Linked DNA regions of Sus scrofa. The protein of the gene in region 1 interacts with the protein of each later gene in a biochemical or structural test. Links are inferred from orthologs where the notes say so. Each region holds a gene or a part of one and is shown on either strand. Other genes may lie near its edges. The genes, in order: USP5 and CACNA1H.

Evidence for each region.
Region 2: the proteins of USP5 (region 1) and CACNA1H form a complex in vitro, tested with the Homo sapiens proteins (2 studies listed by BioGRID, with this or other methods). The link is inferred for Sus scrofa from reciprocal best matches to the Homo sapiens genes USP5 and CACNA1H.

What each region holds. Positions count from the first base shown.
Region 1 is NC_010447.5:63,846,403-63,854,056, reverse strand, and holds part of USP5 (ubiquitin carboxyl-terminal hydrolase 5), read left to right. Parts: intron 1-66; coding exon 67-212; intron 213-490; coding exon 491-675; intron 676-1,579; coding exon 1,580-1,674; intron 1,675-2,281; coding exon 2,282-2,475; intron 2,476-3,161; coding exon 3,162-3,233; intron 3,234-3,784; coding exon 3,785-3,872; intron 3,873-3,998; coding exon 3,999-4,124; intron 4,125-4,605; coding exon 4,606-4,759; intron 4,760-5,099; coding exon 5,100-5,274; intron 5,275-5,879; coding exon 5,880-5,968; intron 5,969-6,836; coding exon 6,837-6,959; coding exon of another isoform or gene 6,960-7,028; intron 7,029-7,516; coding exon 7,517-7,654. UniProt on the Homo sapiens protein: Deubiquitinating enzyme that participates in a wide range of cellular processes by specifically cleaving isopeptide bonds between ubiquitin and substrate proteins or ubiquitin itself.
Region 2 is NC_010445.4:40,634,738-40,641,739, reverse strand, and holds the end of CACNA1H (voltage-dependent T-type calcium channel subunit alpha-1H), read left to right. Parts: intron 1-371; coding exon 372-450; intron 451-1,090; coding exon 1,091-1,212; intron 1,213-1,407; coding exon 1,408-1,831; intron 1,832-1,915; coding exon 1,916-2,043; intron 2,044-2,574; coding exon 2,575-3,558; 3' UTR 3,559-4,320; downstream 4,321-7,002. Other genes in the region: tryptase-like, read right to left, coding at 6,177-6,341, 6,424-6,587, 6,695-6,960.

The DNA.
Region 1 (7,654 bases):
ATGGCACTGGAGGGGCATGTGGGGCCTGGGGCTGGGTCCTGGTCTCTGATCCTCTGCTTCCCCCAGGTGACCAGTGCAGTGGAGGCCCTGCTGTCGGCTGACTCGGCCTCCCGCAAGCAGGAGGTGCAGGCCTGGGATGGGGAGGTACGGCAGGTGTCTAGGCATGCCTTCAACCTCAAGCAGCTGGACAACCCTGCTCGAATCCCTCCCTGGTGAGGCCTGGCCCCTCCACCTCGGGGCGCAACCCCTAGAGCAGGGGCAAAGAGGCCACCCTCCTGGGGTCTGGTGGGAGAGAGGGTCGGGAGCAGACTCAGAAGGGGGACTTTGGGGAGCTGAACTCAGCCAGGGGCATCCGGAGGAGAGACGAAGAGCAGGGTCTTGGACTGGCGGGTGGTGCACAGAGTCCCCTCTGTCCTCCGCTCTCATGACCCCCCCTTCCCCCCCCCCCGCCCCGACGTGCAACTCAGCTACTTTTCTTCTCCCCGACCAGTGGCTGGAAGTGTTCCAAGTGTGACATGCGGGAGAACCTGTGGCTCAACCTGACAGACGGCTCCATCCTCTGTGGCCGGCGCTACTTCGATGGCAGCGGGGGCAACAACCACGCAGTGGAGCACTTCAAGGAGACGGGCTACCCATTAGCCGTCAAGCTGGGCACCATCACACCTGACGGCGCTGGTACTCCCCGCCCCCGCCCGCCCGCCACCTCCCCGCAGAAACCGCTGGGTCTTGACTGTTACTCATGTCGTAGGACACGAGTAAGACATGAGTTCGTTCGTCCTCTCGATCAATAGTAAAACTACTGCAGGAGCTCCAGCTGTGGCACAATGGGATTGGTGGCCCCTCCGGAGCCCTCAGCCATGGGTTCAATCCCCAGCCAGGCGACCAAGGTTAAAGATCCACCGTTGCCGCAGTTGCAGCTTAGGTCACTACTGCAGCTTGGATCTGACTCCTGGCCCAGGGGCTCCATGTGGCTCAGGGTTGCCAAAAATGGGGGGAAAAAAATACGGGGAAAGTACTGCAGGAGTTCCCGTTGTGGTTCAGTGATAATGAACCCAACGAGTATCCATAAGGATGTGGGTTTGATCCCTGGCCTCGCTCAGTGGGTTGCTGGTGTAGGCCAGCAGCTACAGCTCCAGTTCGACCCTTAGCCTGGGAACTTCCATATGCTTCGGGTGCAGCCCTAAAAAAAACCAAAAGAAAAGAGAAAAAAAAAAGCAAGGAAGTATTGCAGGTGGGAGCAAATCTTCAATTTTAATTAACCCCCTAGACACACCCAAATCCCAGCCCCCTTCCGGGCGGTTCCCATCATTATCTTTTAGTGGCTGTCCTTCCAAACCCATCTCAGTCTAGAACCTTCTTCTGTGGTGTGGGGTTTTTTCCAACCCTCAGCCTGTTTCATCCCATCAACCTTGACCGCCCATCCCAGGAGGGCTTGCGGCCTCACTGATGCTCCAGGGAGCCAGGAGGGTCAGCCTCCTAGCCCGTCCTTCTGTTTCACCAGGGGACCTAGGAGGGCTGGTTGGTGGCCAGGCCAGGCCAGAGCCACCCCCTGTGACACCGTTTCTGCCTCTTGTGCTAGACGTGTATTCATATGACGAGGATGACATGGTCCTGGACCCCAACCTGGCCGAGCACCTGTCCCACTTCGGTATCGACATGCTGAAGATGCAGAAGGTGAGGCCCCACTTCCCTCCCTGGAGGCTGAGGCGGCCCGCCGGGGGAGATGCCCCAGTGATCCTGGTCTCCAGGATATGTGGGCTTCCTGTGCAGAACTTTCTAGAACCACCTAATCCTTCACTGAATACTGCTGAACATCTCTTGGGTGCTAGTCACCGTGACCCAGACAGGCTTACGTTCCAGAAGAGAGGCAGGCGTGGCTCACAGACTCATGCAGAGAAATGAATGACCGCCCACTGTGGAGGTGCCACAGGCATTTACAGGAGGGGCCCCCTAGTCCAGGGGATTGAGAAAGTGGCCCTGAGGAAGTGACGCTTGGGTGGAGATCTGGGGGTGAGGGGGCGACTTCAGGATGGAGAAACACTTCCGCTAGAGGGAGTCGTGTTCATTTCATCCCCTCATTGAGCCTGAGGCCTGAGGGCCCCGGGACGGTTGCCTGTGGCCTTCTGGAACTCGCCCTGGAGGAGAGCCAGTGGGCCGCCCATGGTGGAGTCCATAATTCAGCAAATTCCAGCCTCCAGCTGGCCCTCATCCTAGACCCCGCGAGAGGTCAGCATAAAGGCTGCTTCTCTCTCAGCCCATCTGAAGCTCCCTTGCCCTGCAGACGGACAAGACGATGACGGAGCTGGAGATAGACATGAACCAGCGCATCGGCGAGTGGGAGCTGATCCAGGAGTCAGGGGTGCCGCTCAAGCCCCTGTTCGGGCCTGGCTACACGGGCATCCGCAACCTGGGCAACAGCTGCTACCTCAACTCCGTGGTCCAGGTGCTCTTCAGCATCCCCGACTTCCAGAGGAAGTGAGTGCTGCGCTCTCCCTGGCTCTGCGCCCCCAGCCCCCCGGCTCCTCTCCGGACCTCGGTGCCAGCTCAGTCTTATTCCTGGTGCACGGTGAGGGGAGCAGGTCACAGGACCACACCACCGTCACCTGGTGACACACACACTGGTGGGGCCGGGTGCACACACCCCCCCCCACCCCCCGCCAGGGCTCTCCTAGGTCTCCTGACTGACTTAGGGCCAGCAAATGGTCTTGATCTTAGCCAGTGACATCAGATGAGCACCTCACACGGACATGGAGCCTTTGGGGAGAGGGGAGGGCTTGAGACCCAAAGATAGAAGAAAGGCAAATGCTTAGCCTCAGCGAGTTTCCTGTCTACTTGCCAAGGCCCGGTGTGTATGTGAGAGCTTCGAATGTACGAACAAGTTGTGTTCAGTGGAATATGAACCACATCTCTCCTCCGAGGTGGCTTTCTCCCATCTCTGGGCTCTGCTGGGGAGGAAGCTGAGCTATGTTGCATGCCGACCCAGTTGGGAAGAGGGGGGAAGCACGGGTTGCTGGAAAGAAATGGACGCTCAGGTGCAACCATGTACCCTTCTGTTCCGGAGGGGGCTTGTTCTCTGAGCTAGTAGATAATGGCTCCCTTTCGCTTTTCTCTGGGCCTGCCTGAGCCCAAGCCCCTCCAGCAGTCTTTCCTTTGGCTCTTAGGTATGTGGATAAGCTGGAAAAGATCTTCCAGAATGCTCCGACGGACCCTACCCAGGACTTCAGCACCCAGGTGTATGTAGCCAGTTGTGTACCTTCTTTCTCCTCCATGACCCCCTGGAGTGGGCAGTAGTTTAGTCCCTGGCCGGCTAGAAGCTTTCAAATGGTTGCCTTCTGGGCACGCTGTCTGCTTTGGGTTGGGGTCCTGAGGAACCTAAGTTTTTTCATATTTATTTTTTCTTTTTGAAGTTTCTGTTTTTTAGAGCTGCATCCATGGCATATGGAAGTTTCCAGGCTAGGAGATGAACTGGAGCTGCAGCTGCCAGCCTTCACCACAGCCACAGCCAACACCAGATCTGAGCCGTGTCTGCAACCTACACCGTAGCTCACGGCAATGCCAGATTCCCGACCCGCTAAGCAAGACTAGGGATCAATCCCCCATTCCTCATGGATACTGGTTGGATTCATCTCTGCTGCGCCACAATGGGAACTCCTGTTTTTTCACGTTTTGGAGAGTTGTCGGAGGAGGGCTTTGGGCAGGGATCAAGTCGGGCGAAGAGGTAGATTTGGTATCAGGCAATCCTTAATTGACAGAAGCCACATTGTTCTCTTGACTGTTAATCCAGGGCCAAGCTGGGCCATGGCCTTCTCTCGGGAGAGTATTCCAAGCCAGCGCCAGAGTCGGGCGACGGCGAGCAGGTGCCAGAGCAAAAGGTGTGTCTGGGCCTCTGTCCCTTTTCAGACTCTGGAGTTATGGGGAAACCGAGGCCTGGGAGCTGTATAAAGGCCACTTGGTGGCTTCTTGGGCCCCCGCTGAATCGATGCCCTGGCTCTGCCTAGGAAGTCCAAGATGGCATTGCCCCTCGGATGTTCAAGGCCCTCATCAGCAAGGGTCACCCCGAGTTCTCCACCAACCGGCAGCAGGATGCCCAAGAGTTCTTCCTTCACCTTATCAACATGGTGGAGGTGAGGATGGCAAGGGGGCCACTCGTCACACTCCTTCTCTGCGCCTGCACTTCCCCCTGTCTTTCCTCTGTGGGCCCCACCCCCGTCCCATCCCCGGGACCCCAGAGCCTTCCGGCCCTGCGCCGTCCCTGTACCTGAGGACAGCAGAGTAGCGATCTTTTGCTTGATGGGCTTGCAGCCTCAGGAAGGATGCATGCAAAGGAAATGATAGGCTGGTGCTTGGTGCTCAGAAAGAAAGGAGAGGCTCTTGCCCACGCAGGCCCACGCTGTGGGATGGGCGGCCACTTGGGGGGGGCGGGAGGTTGAATAGGGGAAGCTGCTGCTCTGCTCCTGCATCCCTCTGCCTCTTCGTGGTCGTCTCCTTTCTACTTCCCTTCCTCCCTGACCGCCCCCCACAGTGACTTCTGGGGGCCCCCATGCCAGGGCCTGACTGCCCAGACCGCCCCCTGCCCCCCCCCGCCACCTTGCCTCTTTCCCGTAGAGGAATTGCCGGAGCTCTGAAAATCCCAACGAGGTGTTCCGCTTCCTGGTGGAGGAGAAGATCAAGTGCCTGGCCACAGAGAAGGTCAAGTACACCCAGCGCGTGGACTATATCATGCAGCTGCCTGTGCCCATGGACGCGGCCCTGAACAAAGGTAAGGTGGCCCTCTGCTCTCCCGGCGGGGACCTGGGGGCACCTGGAGTCTGAGCTCTGGGGCGGGGCCTGGGCACCTTACAGGAGCAGAGCCCAAGGTTAGCTCTGTCCCCAGCCAGACCTGCCCAGCGGGGCCTGTGGGCCGAGCTGGGATCACCCTTGCTTGCAGCCAGTCAGCAGAGCTTTGTTGGGAAAGAGGCAGGAGGATGTGTATCAGGTGGGCTTGGGGAGGCAGAGGAGCCGAGATGGTCACGGACCCCGAGCCAGTAGAGCAAGACTGAGGAGGGAAAGCAGCAGCTCCTGCCCACCCAGAAGGACCCACCCACCCCTTCCATCACCAGAGGAGCTCCTGGAGTATGAAGAGAAGAAGCGGCAAGCCGAGGAGGAGAAGCTGCCACTGCCAGAACTGGTTCGGGCACAGGTGCCCTTCAGCTCCTGCCTGGAGGCCTATGGGGCCCCTGAGCAGGTGGATGACTTCTGGAGCACTGCCCTGCAGGCCAAGTCCGTGGCCGTCAAGTAAGTCCTGTGGGTGCCGGCCTGCGGCAGCGTCATCCCAAAGATGCTGTCAGCGTCGCATCCTCTCCCGTTGTGGTCCAAATCTCAGGCTTCTATCACTTGAGGCTGGTACCCTGGTCCTGAGGGAACCCAGAGGCTCCAACAGGAGCGGGGTCAGGAAATTGCTACCTTACCTTGTCCTGCCCCCGCCAGTCCCTCTTCTCTCATGGGCCGGGGTCACTTTCCATTGCAGCCTCTCTCTGCTCTGTCCCCCACTCCAGACCAAGCACAGAAATTAGTAACAGTTGTGGACGGAACTGAGATTTCCAGCACATGGCCTGCCTTTTTGCTACCTCATCACTGGCATGAACCTGAGATCTGAAAGAGTGCTTTGGTCTTGGGGATTCCAGCCACCTGCCCCTTGGCTGCTCTGGCCCATCAGGCAGCCCGCCTCCAGCTTCTGTTGCTCCTTATCCGCAGGTGCCCTGATGCCTGCCCAGGGCAAGAAAGCATGGAGTGTCTTCTGGGCTTTTTTAACAGCCCAGGTCTCTATCCATGAGAGGCTGAACCCAGCGTGGAGCTTTCGGAGAGGCTCCCTGGGTACCTGTATGTTCTCTCTTCCCTAGGACCACACGATTTGCCTCATTCCCCGACTACCTGGTCATCCAGATCAAGAAGTTCACCTTCGGCTTAGACTGGGTGCCCAAGAAACTGGGTATGGTGGCTGGGACGAGCAAGGGAGGTTAAGCAGAAAGTGCTAAGAAAAAGAAGGGGCCTTAAGCTGTGAACTGGTGCTTCTCCAACTCTCTCAAAGTAGAAACATTATCTTAGCTGCTTTCGAAATGTGTCTAGCACCGTGAAAAGCACCGACTAAAAGTATCAAGGCTTCTCTGATTTTATAGTTACAATTTACAGCCAGAAGTGATGTTCCTAGTTTTGTGTTTTCTAATTGGCAGGATGGTTTCATTTTGATAATCTTTTTTTTTTTTTTTTTTTTTTATCTTTTTAGGGCTGTACCCGAGGCACATGGAGGTTCCCAGGCTAGGGGTCGAATCGGATCTGTAGCTGCCAGCCTACACCACAGCCACAGCCACTCCGGATCCAAGCCATGTCTGCGACCTACACCACATGTTACAGCCACACTGGGTCCTTAACCCACTGGGCAAGGCCAGGGATCCAACCTGCGTCCTCATGGATACTAGTCAGATTTGTTTCTGATGAGTCATTTTTGATAATCTCCTCATTTTGATAATCTCAAAATAATGAGTTCTCATGGGTCTTCAGGCCCCTGACCACTTGGTGAACTGCAGAATTAACTTGACCTCCTAGCTAAGTTGAGCCCCATGGAAGCATAGAATCATCTGTGGCCCCTTCCTGGACTGTGGCTCATTGTGAAAAGATCTAGGACTGGAATCCAGGTCTTCTGACCCCTGGCCTGATGGCTTTTATTACACTGTGACTCCTGTGCTGGGTCCTGCTCTGAGCAAGTCGGGGGCAGGGGGCTTGAGATTCCCAGAGTGCTTTTCCCGGGAGGGCTTCCGGGAGCTGCCAAGGTGACCCTTGTCCTGCCGGTCCCCTCGCAGATGTGTCCATCGAGATGCCCGAGGAGCTAGACATCTCCCAGCTGAGGGGCACAGGGCTGCAGCCTGGAGAGGAGGAGCTGCCCGACATTGCCCCACCCCTGGTCACTCCGGATGAGCCCAAAGGTAGCCTTGGTTTCTATGGCAACGAAGACGAAGACTCCTTCTGCTCCCCTCACTTCTCCTCTCCAACATGTTAGTGACTCTTCTTCCTGCCTGTCTCTTTCCCTTGCTGATGGGGATCTTCTCTGCCTGCCTCCCCTTGACCCTGTCCTTTGTGTTTCTCCTGTCCTCCCTTTCAAATTTTCCTTGGCCCTCTTGATGAACATGGGGACCGATCGAGCCCTCCCAGCCATGGTCTCTGTGTGGATGGTGGCACACTGGCTGATTGCCTCTGTCCTTGTTACTTGGGTGGGGGCAGGGGCGGGGGCTCGTCCTCCAGACAGTGGGCGAGGAAGGGGCTCCCTGGGGGATCTGTAGCCTGAGTTCTGTACCTTTCGGATACGGCTGGCCCCCCATCAGGTTGTGTTGTCATTTTAGTTCTGGAATCAGGTGCTGGGCCTTGGAGGAAAAATGCATGCAAGGTGGTTGGGGGAGTCCTGGGGGCTGGACTCTGGCAGGAGGGAGGGGGCAGGGAGTGGCCCCAGGAGGCACGCCCCATGCCCGCGCTTCTCTGCCAACAGCGCCCATGTTGGATGAATCGGTTATCATCCAGCTGGTGGAGATGGGCTTCCCGATGGACGCCTGCCGCAAAGCCGTCTACTACACGGGCAACAGCGGGGCCGAGGCCGCCATGAACTGGGTCATGTCGCACATGGACG
Region 2 (7,002 bases), on another chromosome or scaffold:
AGGAGTTGGCAGGAGAACCTCAGCAGGGGCCAGGCCAGGCCTCGCTCAGGCTGCAGAGCGTGCACCTTCGCCCCGCCATGGGCATCCCTGAGGCTGGAGGCGGGCCCTGCCTGGAGCCTACCGGAGCCCCCAGGAGGCCTCCCAGGCCCTGGGCAGTGGAGGAGCTGTAGTCCTGGGCGCAGGAGGGCATGAGGAGCTAAAGAGGGGCAGAGGGCCGCAGAGGGGCCTTGGGCACCAGGCAGGACACGGAGTCCTGGGGGCCACGGGAGCTCCAAGGCCAGGAGGGACGGGTTGGACCCCCTTGCTGGGCTGGAACGTGGGTGCCAGGGGGCTGAGGCCTCTGACCTCGTTCTGCTTCTCTCCTCGTGTAGGTAGGGAACCTGGGTCTGCTTTTCATGCTCCTGTTTTTTATCTATGCTGCCCTGGGCGTGGAGCTGTTTGGGAGGCTTGGTGAGTGCTGCTGCCCCGCCCCCTGGACCCTGGGTCCTGGAAGGTGCAGCTTCCCGCATGCTCACCTGGCCCCAGGACAGTTCAGGCTCTGTCTTTGACTGAGGTGACCACATAGGAGGCACACGCAAAAGCCTGGTGCCAGAATGTGACACACACACGTGTTGGTGGCAGGCCAGGAGGACAGCATGTGCGCACACGCAGGTGTTGACCTGAGCTCCACCTGGCCCCAGGGGATATGCTGCCGCAAGTTCGAATTGTCCCCAGGATTTCCCTGGACCCCCCAGCCTGAGTCTCTGGCCAGTCTGTGCAGCTCTTCCGTGGCAGCCCCCTCCCTTCCCGCTCAGTGTCACTAAAGGCTTAGTGGCTTCCGGCACGCCTACCTGTGCAGTGTTCAGGTGCTGGTCATGGTTTAGGGTCTGCCCTAAACTGGACTGGGCAGCTGGTGTGCCAGACCCTGGGCCTGATGACTGCCGCCCCTGGCCCAGGGCAGCTCGAGCCCGAAGGCATGCTGACCCCAAAGCTGGGCCTGGGGAGCAGAAAGAGCTGTCCACTGGGCTGAGCCAGAGCCCAGCCCTGGGGAAGGGCAGGACCCAGGTGTGCACTGGCCCCAGCCGGGTGCTGACCGGGTCCCTTCTGGCAGAGTGCAGTGAGGACAACCCCTGTGAGGGCCTGAGCAGGCACGCCACCTTCTCCAACTTCGGCATGGCCTTCCTCACGCTGTTCCGCGTGTCCACCGGGGACAACTGGAACGGGATCATGAAGGCACGGCCGCGGGGGGCGGGGCCCGGGGCGGAGGGGGCGGGACGGGGGGGCGGGCCCGGGACGGCGATGGGTGGGTGGGGCGATGGGGCGGGGCAGGCGGGCGGGACCAGGGCGGCGGGGGGCGGGGCGGAGGGGCGGGCGTCTAGGGGCAGGGGCGGCCTTTCGGACTGAGGTGGAGGCTGCCCTCCGCTGCAGGACACGCTGCGGGAGTGCGCCCGTGAGGACAAGCACTGCCTCAGCTACCTGCCGGCCATCTCGCCCATCTACTTCGTCACGTTTGTGCTGGTGGCCCAGTTCGTGCTGGTCAACGTGGTAGTGGCCGTGCTCATGAAGCACCTTGAGGAGAGCAACAAGGAAGCCCGTGAGGATGCCGAGCTGGACGCCGAGCTCGAGCTGGAGCTGGCGCAGAGGCCGCCCGCCCGCCCCAGTCCCGCGGCCCCGCAGAGCCCGGGCGCGGGGCCGGACCCCTCCAACCTGCTGGTCGTGCGCAAGGTGTCCGTGTCCAGAATGCTGTCGCTGCCCAACGACAGCTACATGTTCCGGCCGGTGGCGCCCGCTGCGGCCGCTCACCCCCACCCGCCGCAGGACGTGGAAATGGAGAGCTACGCGGGCGCCTCAGGTAAGGCCCCTGGCGGCGGGCAGATGTGGGCAGGCAGGGCAGCCGGAGGGGTCGGATGCCCATTTCAGGCCCCTCCTGCCCCAGGCCTGGTCACCTCCATCCACTCGCCACCCGCGGAATCCTGCACCTCCCTCCAGGTCCCGTCGGCTGCATCCTCCCCTGCAAGGGGTGCAGGTCACTCCCCAAGTCTCAGCCGGCTGCTCTGCAGACAGGTAGGAGAACCCCCCCCCCCCCGGTTCTCAGCTGAGGCTGGGGGCCCCATGGCTCTCCCCGGCTTTTGAAGGATGAGCAACAGGGACGCTGGGAATATTGGTGGGTTACCCAGAGCCCATGACGACGGCATTTGGCATCCCCAGGCATCCCCAGCAACGGTTCCGGCCAGCCTCGCCTGTACCCACACCACCCCCGCCTGAGGCTTCGGCCTCTTTCCCCTTCTCCTGCCTCTGCGTGCCTCAGTGGGCTGGTGTTGCATGGGGTCAGGTGGTGGCCGAGTCCTCCATGGCAGGTTCCAGAGCAGGGTCTCCAGGGCCCTGTGGCAGGTTCTGCCCACAGGAGGTCAGGCCCCAGCTCTCTGCTCCTCATGGCTTCTCTCCAGTGTGACCAACCCTGGCCATGTGCCCCCATACCAGCATCTCGCAGTCCTGTCTCAGCCTTGGGGTCAGGAGCCCATCCTAGATCAGGGTAGGAACGGGGTCCCTGTGTCCTGGCTGCTGCTTGGGCTCACCTGACCCGTGTCTTTGCAGGAGGCCCTGGCCACCCAGTCCCTGGAGGGGCAGGTTGGCAGCCCCGGGGACAGCAGTCCCAGTTGGGGAGAGCCTGGCAGGAAGACCCCCGGGAGGCAGGCGACCCTGGGGGCCTCCGTGTGCTCCCCACCCCGTTCCCCACGGCCCGCCAGTGTCCGCATCCGCAAGCACACTTTTGGGCAGCACTGCATCTCCAGCCGGCCACCAGCCCCAGGCAGGGAGGAGGCTGAGGCCCCGGACCCGGCCGACGAGGAGGTCAGCCACATCACCAGCTCCGCCCGCGGCCCCGTGGCCTCGCCTGCGGCCTGCGAGCCAGACTTGCACCGGCTCTACAGTGTCGATGCCCAGGGCTTCCTGGACCAGCCGGGCCAGGCGGACGAGCAGAGGCGGCCCTCGGTGGAGCAGGGCTGCGGGGATGGCCTCCCAGAGGCGGGGGTGGTGAAGGCTCGGGCCCCGGAGGCTGAGCTGGCCCTGGGCGCACGCAGGAAGAAGAAGATGAGCCCGCCCTGCATCTCTGTTGAGCCCCCCGCAGAGGACGAGGGCACAGCCCGGCCCCCTGTGGCTGAGGGCAGCAGCACCACCCTCCGGCGAAGAACCCCGTCCTGCGAGGCCGCGCCGCACAGGGACCCCCTGGAGCCCCTGGACAGTGCAGGGCTGGACGCTGCCGCCAAGGGGGAGCGGCGGGGCCAGGCCCCCTGCCGCACAGACCACCTGACCGTCCCGAGCTTTGCCTTTGAGCCACTGGACATGGGGGCTCCTGGTGGGGACCCGTTGTCAGATGGCAGCCATGGGGTCACCCCAGAACCCAGACCCTGTCCTGGTGCCATGGTGCCTCCCGAACCCCAGCAGATGGAGCCCTCAGTGCTCTCGGGAGACCCCCCAGAGGAGGGGGAGAGGCTGCACCTCACAGTCCCGCAGAGCCCCCTGAAGAAAGGGCCCCCCCCAGCCCCCGCTCCAGGCGACGGTGTAGACAAGCCCGTGTAGCTCGGAGTGCAGCGCCCACAGGCCTTGGCACTGGGGTGAGGTGCGCCCAGCGGGGTGGCAGCACCAAGTGGGGCTGTGCGTGGGCCCCAGCTCAGGCCCCCCCGCAGGCAGAGGAGCCGGGAGGACGTCGGCCCAGGGAGACGGGGGCAGATGCTACCCTGGGCGAAGCCTCCATCCCGCGGTTCAGGTTTGGGATTTTCCGAGGTGACCGCCGCGGTCCGAGGCCGTGCCAGGGGCCCGGTCAGCAGTCCGGTAACAAAGCTGCATCCGAGGGACAAGGACCAGAAAATGAGCAGAGGAGGCAGGAGGTCACCCGGTAGAGCCCTACCCTCACATCCACTAAGTTTTTTAGGGAACACGCTTGGGGCCACGTGTGCCCTCTGGGTGGCGGCTCCGTCCCCAAGGCCACAGAGGCCACGCTTCACGTCGCTCACAGTCTGAATTCTCCTCGTCTGTCTCCACCTCCTCTTGTTGCCTCATCTCCCCCCACCCCCCACCGCTCTGCCCCCGTCGGCGTCCCAGACAACGACCCTGACTCTGGTCCCTGGGCCATGGCCAGGCACCAGGGACCAGGCAATAAGACCCCCCCGTGGCCTTTGGGCCTGGGCCGAGAGTTTCAGCGGATGCCCCTGTTTCATGTCATTTCTTTTATAAATTCAGGTGAAATGTTGCAATAATCTGATGTAGAAAATGTGGCTTCTCAAGTCAAGGGGAGGAGAGGGGGCAAAACAGAGCCGAATAAATATTAACTTATTTAAGAAACGTGTTGGATTTCCAGCATCCGACTCGGTCCCCCGCACGGGAGGGCAGCAAGTCTGAGGCGTTGGCGAGGGTTGAGCTGGTGATGGCACCACCACTGCCAGGGCCGAGGGGCTCCACAGAGCCCACCCCCTCCTGCCTGTGCATCCCTGGCTGGGGCGGGTGGCAGGTGGGAAGCCTGCCTCCCATGGCAGCTGGAACCACATGGCATCATTCATGTGCTAGAGAAATGAGGTCTGATCCCACACAGGAAGGAGTTTCTGCCCAGGCTCCCGGGAGGGATGGGAGCCCGCGGAGCAGGGGACAGACTCCCCACCAGGAGAGTGGGCAGCCACCTGGGGCGCCCCCTCCCCATCTCCCTCCCTGAAACCTCTGAGCCTACACCCTCCTCGCATCCTGCTGGCCTCTGCCCCCAGCCCCATTGCACAGACGCCCGGCTCCTTCCTTGTGAGAACAGGTGCAGAAGGGGGCCAGGTCAGAATGAACTTGTTCTTGACCATGGATGGTGGCTGTGGCCTTGGGGGGGTGCTGCACGCACAACAGAGCTGGCTCCAGGATAGGGTCCAGGCCCTTCCCTCCACACAGCAAACAGGCCACCCAACCCACCCCACCCACCTCCAGGCTGATCTAGGTGATGGGAGGGGCTGTCGAGGGCTCTACCTGGCTGAGGCCTGGGCCTGTTTGCTCTGAGCTGGGTGGGCAGCAAGTCCCCAGCTTGGGAGCCTGGGGGCTGCAGCCAGCCCTTCCCCAGCGCTTCTTGGCAGGTGTGGAATGGGGTGCCAGCGCCCCCTCTGGTGGTTATGTGGGGAACTGCGGGACTCCAGAGTCCCAGGTGGCTCTGCCAGATGGGTGTGGGGAGCCCAACTGGACCTGCTGGAGCCCTGGGTCTGCAGGCCCTCCTGCCTGTGACCTTGGCCTCAGTTCTCACAGGGAGAAAACGCTGAGCTGGGCTGGACCCAAGGCTGCTATACTGGTTCTTCCTGCAGACCCAGACTCTGGGCTGCGCCCTCCCTGCCAGGGAGGGGTCATGGGTCTAGGGTCAGAGGGCAGGAGAGCCCGGATGTGGGCCCGCCAGGGTGGCCGCAACCTTCACGCAGCTCACCACACCGGTTGTCAGACCAGAGGCCCTCCGGGTCGTCCTGGGGGCAGAGCGGAGTGAGGACCAGGATGCCAGAGAGCCGGGAGCCCCCATCCTCCGCCTCGCCCACCTGGGCACACCTGGTAGGCATCCCTGGGGCAATTACGGCTACTCCTAGGCCGAGTGGTCCTGCCTGCAGGTCTGCCGGAGGACGGGTCTTGGGTGGGGAACAGGTTGCAGGGAAATAGGGGGACCTGGGGGTGGGCGTCTGTGTTCTGGCTGCGACTTCACTGCGGGGAACCTGGTGCCTCTAGAACCTCTGAATGGTCCATGAACCTTTATCTCTCCCCAAAGCACGATGCCACGCACTGAAAATAAACACAAGCCAGTGCGCTGAAGAGCCGGCCCTGAACACCAGGGGCAGGGCTGGGCCAACCCCACCACAACGCCGGGTGCTCAGGGGTGGGGACCCACCCTGATGGCGGAGGCACCCACTGGCCCTGGACCCCCTCCGTCTCCCTCAGTGACACACGAAACCAGAGACACAGTGACAGCCACCTCTGCTTTCCATGCTCTTTAATGAGTGATCGTGCTGACGGCCCGCTCCCTGGGACGAGACGTGTGGGGGCTCAGGGCAAGGGGGGGGGCTCAGGGCAGGGGGCACTCGGTGGGAGGGGGACTCAGGGTGGGGGGCCAGGCACGGTGCAGGAGGAGCCACCTCGGCAGGAAGCAGTGGTGTGGGGGCAGGAGGTGACTGGCTTTGCAGACCCAGGGACCAGGCTCAGGACTCCCTGGGGATACACTGGTGGATCCAGTCCAAGTAGTGGGTGACGCGGGTGTAGATGCCAGGCCGGTTGGGCAGAGCGCAGCCCTCGCCCCAGCTGACCACGCCCGCCTGCAGCCAGGTGCCATTCACCCTGCAGACCAGGGGCCCCCCGGAGTCACCCTGCGGAGAGGAGGGGAGGGGAGGGGTGAGCGGTGGCTGCCAGGCCCGGGCAGGTGGGGGCTGCGGGGGACATGCGGACCACCTGGCAGGAGTCGTGCCCTTCGCTGCCGGCGCACAGCATGTCGTCGCGGACAATCGGGATGTTGTCCCCTGTGGACAGGCCGAGGTGGTACTGCATGTCGCATTCGCTGTTTTCCACAATGGGGACCCTCACCTGCTTCAGAGGATACGGCGGTGGCAGGGGCCCTGGGGGCGAGAGGCGAGGAAGCTGCAGCGGCGGCGGGAGGGCTGTTCCCCAAAAGGGTGGAGCTGTGAGGTGACCATGTCCCCCTCCGGCTGTCCCCCAAACCCACAACCACTGTGCACGTCGCCCCAGCCTGTCACCCAGCACCGTGTCCCCTTGGGGAAGGTCTCCGAGGCCGGGGGCAGGGTGACCGGCTGGACGTGGCTGGAGAGGTTCACGGGGTCCTCGAGCTCCAGCAGGGCGATGTCCGCTCCGTTGACCTCGTCATAGTAGTTGGGGTGGACGATGATCCGGCTGACCAGCAGCAGCCGGTCCTGGTAATAGAGGTGCTGCTCCCCCAGCTGGACCCTGATGTACAAGGGGTCAGCCTTTTCCCTGGAGAGGGGACACCTCTTCAGGGAGGGACCAGGCTTCGGG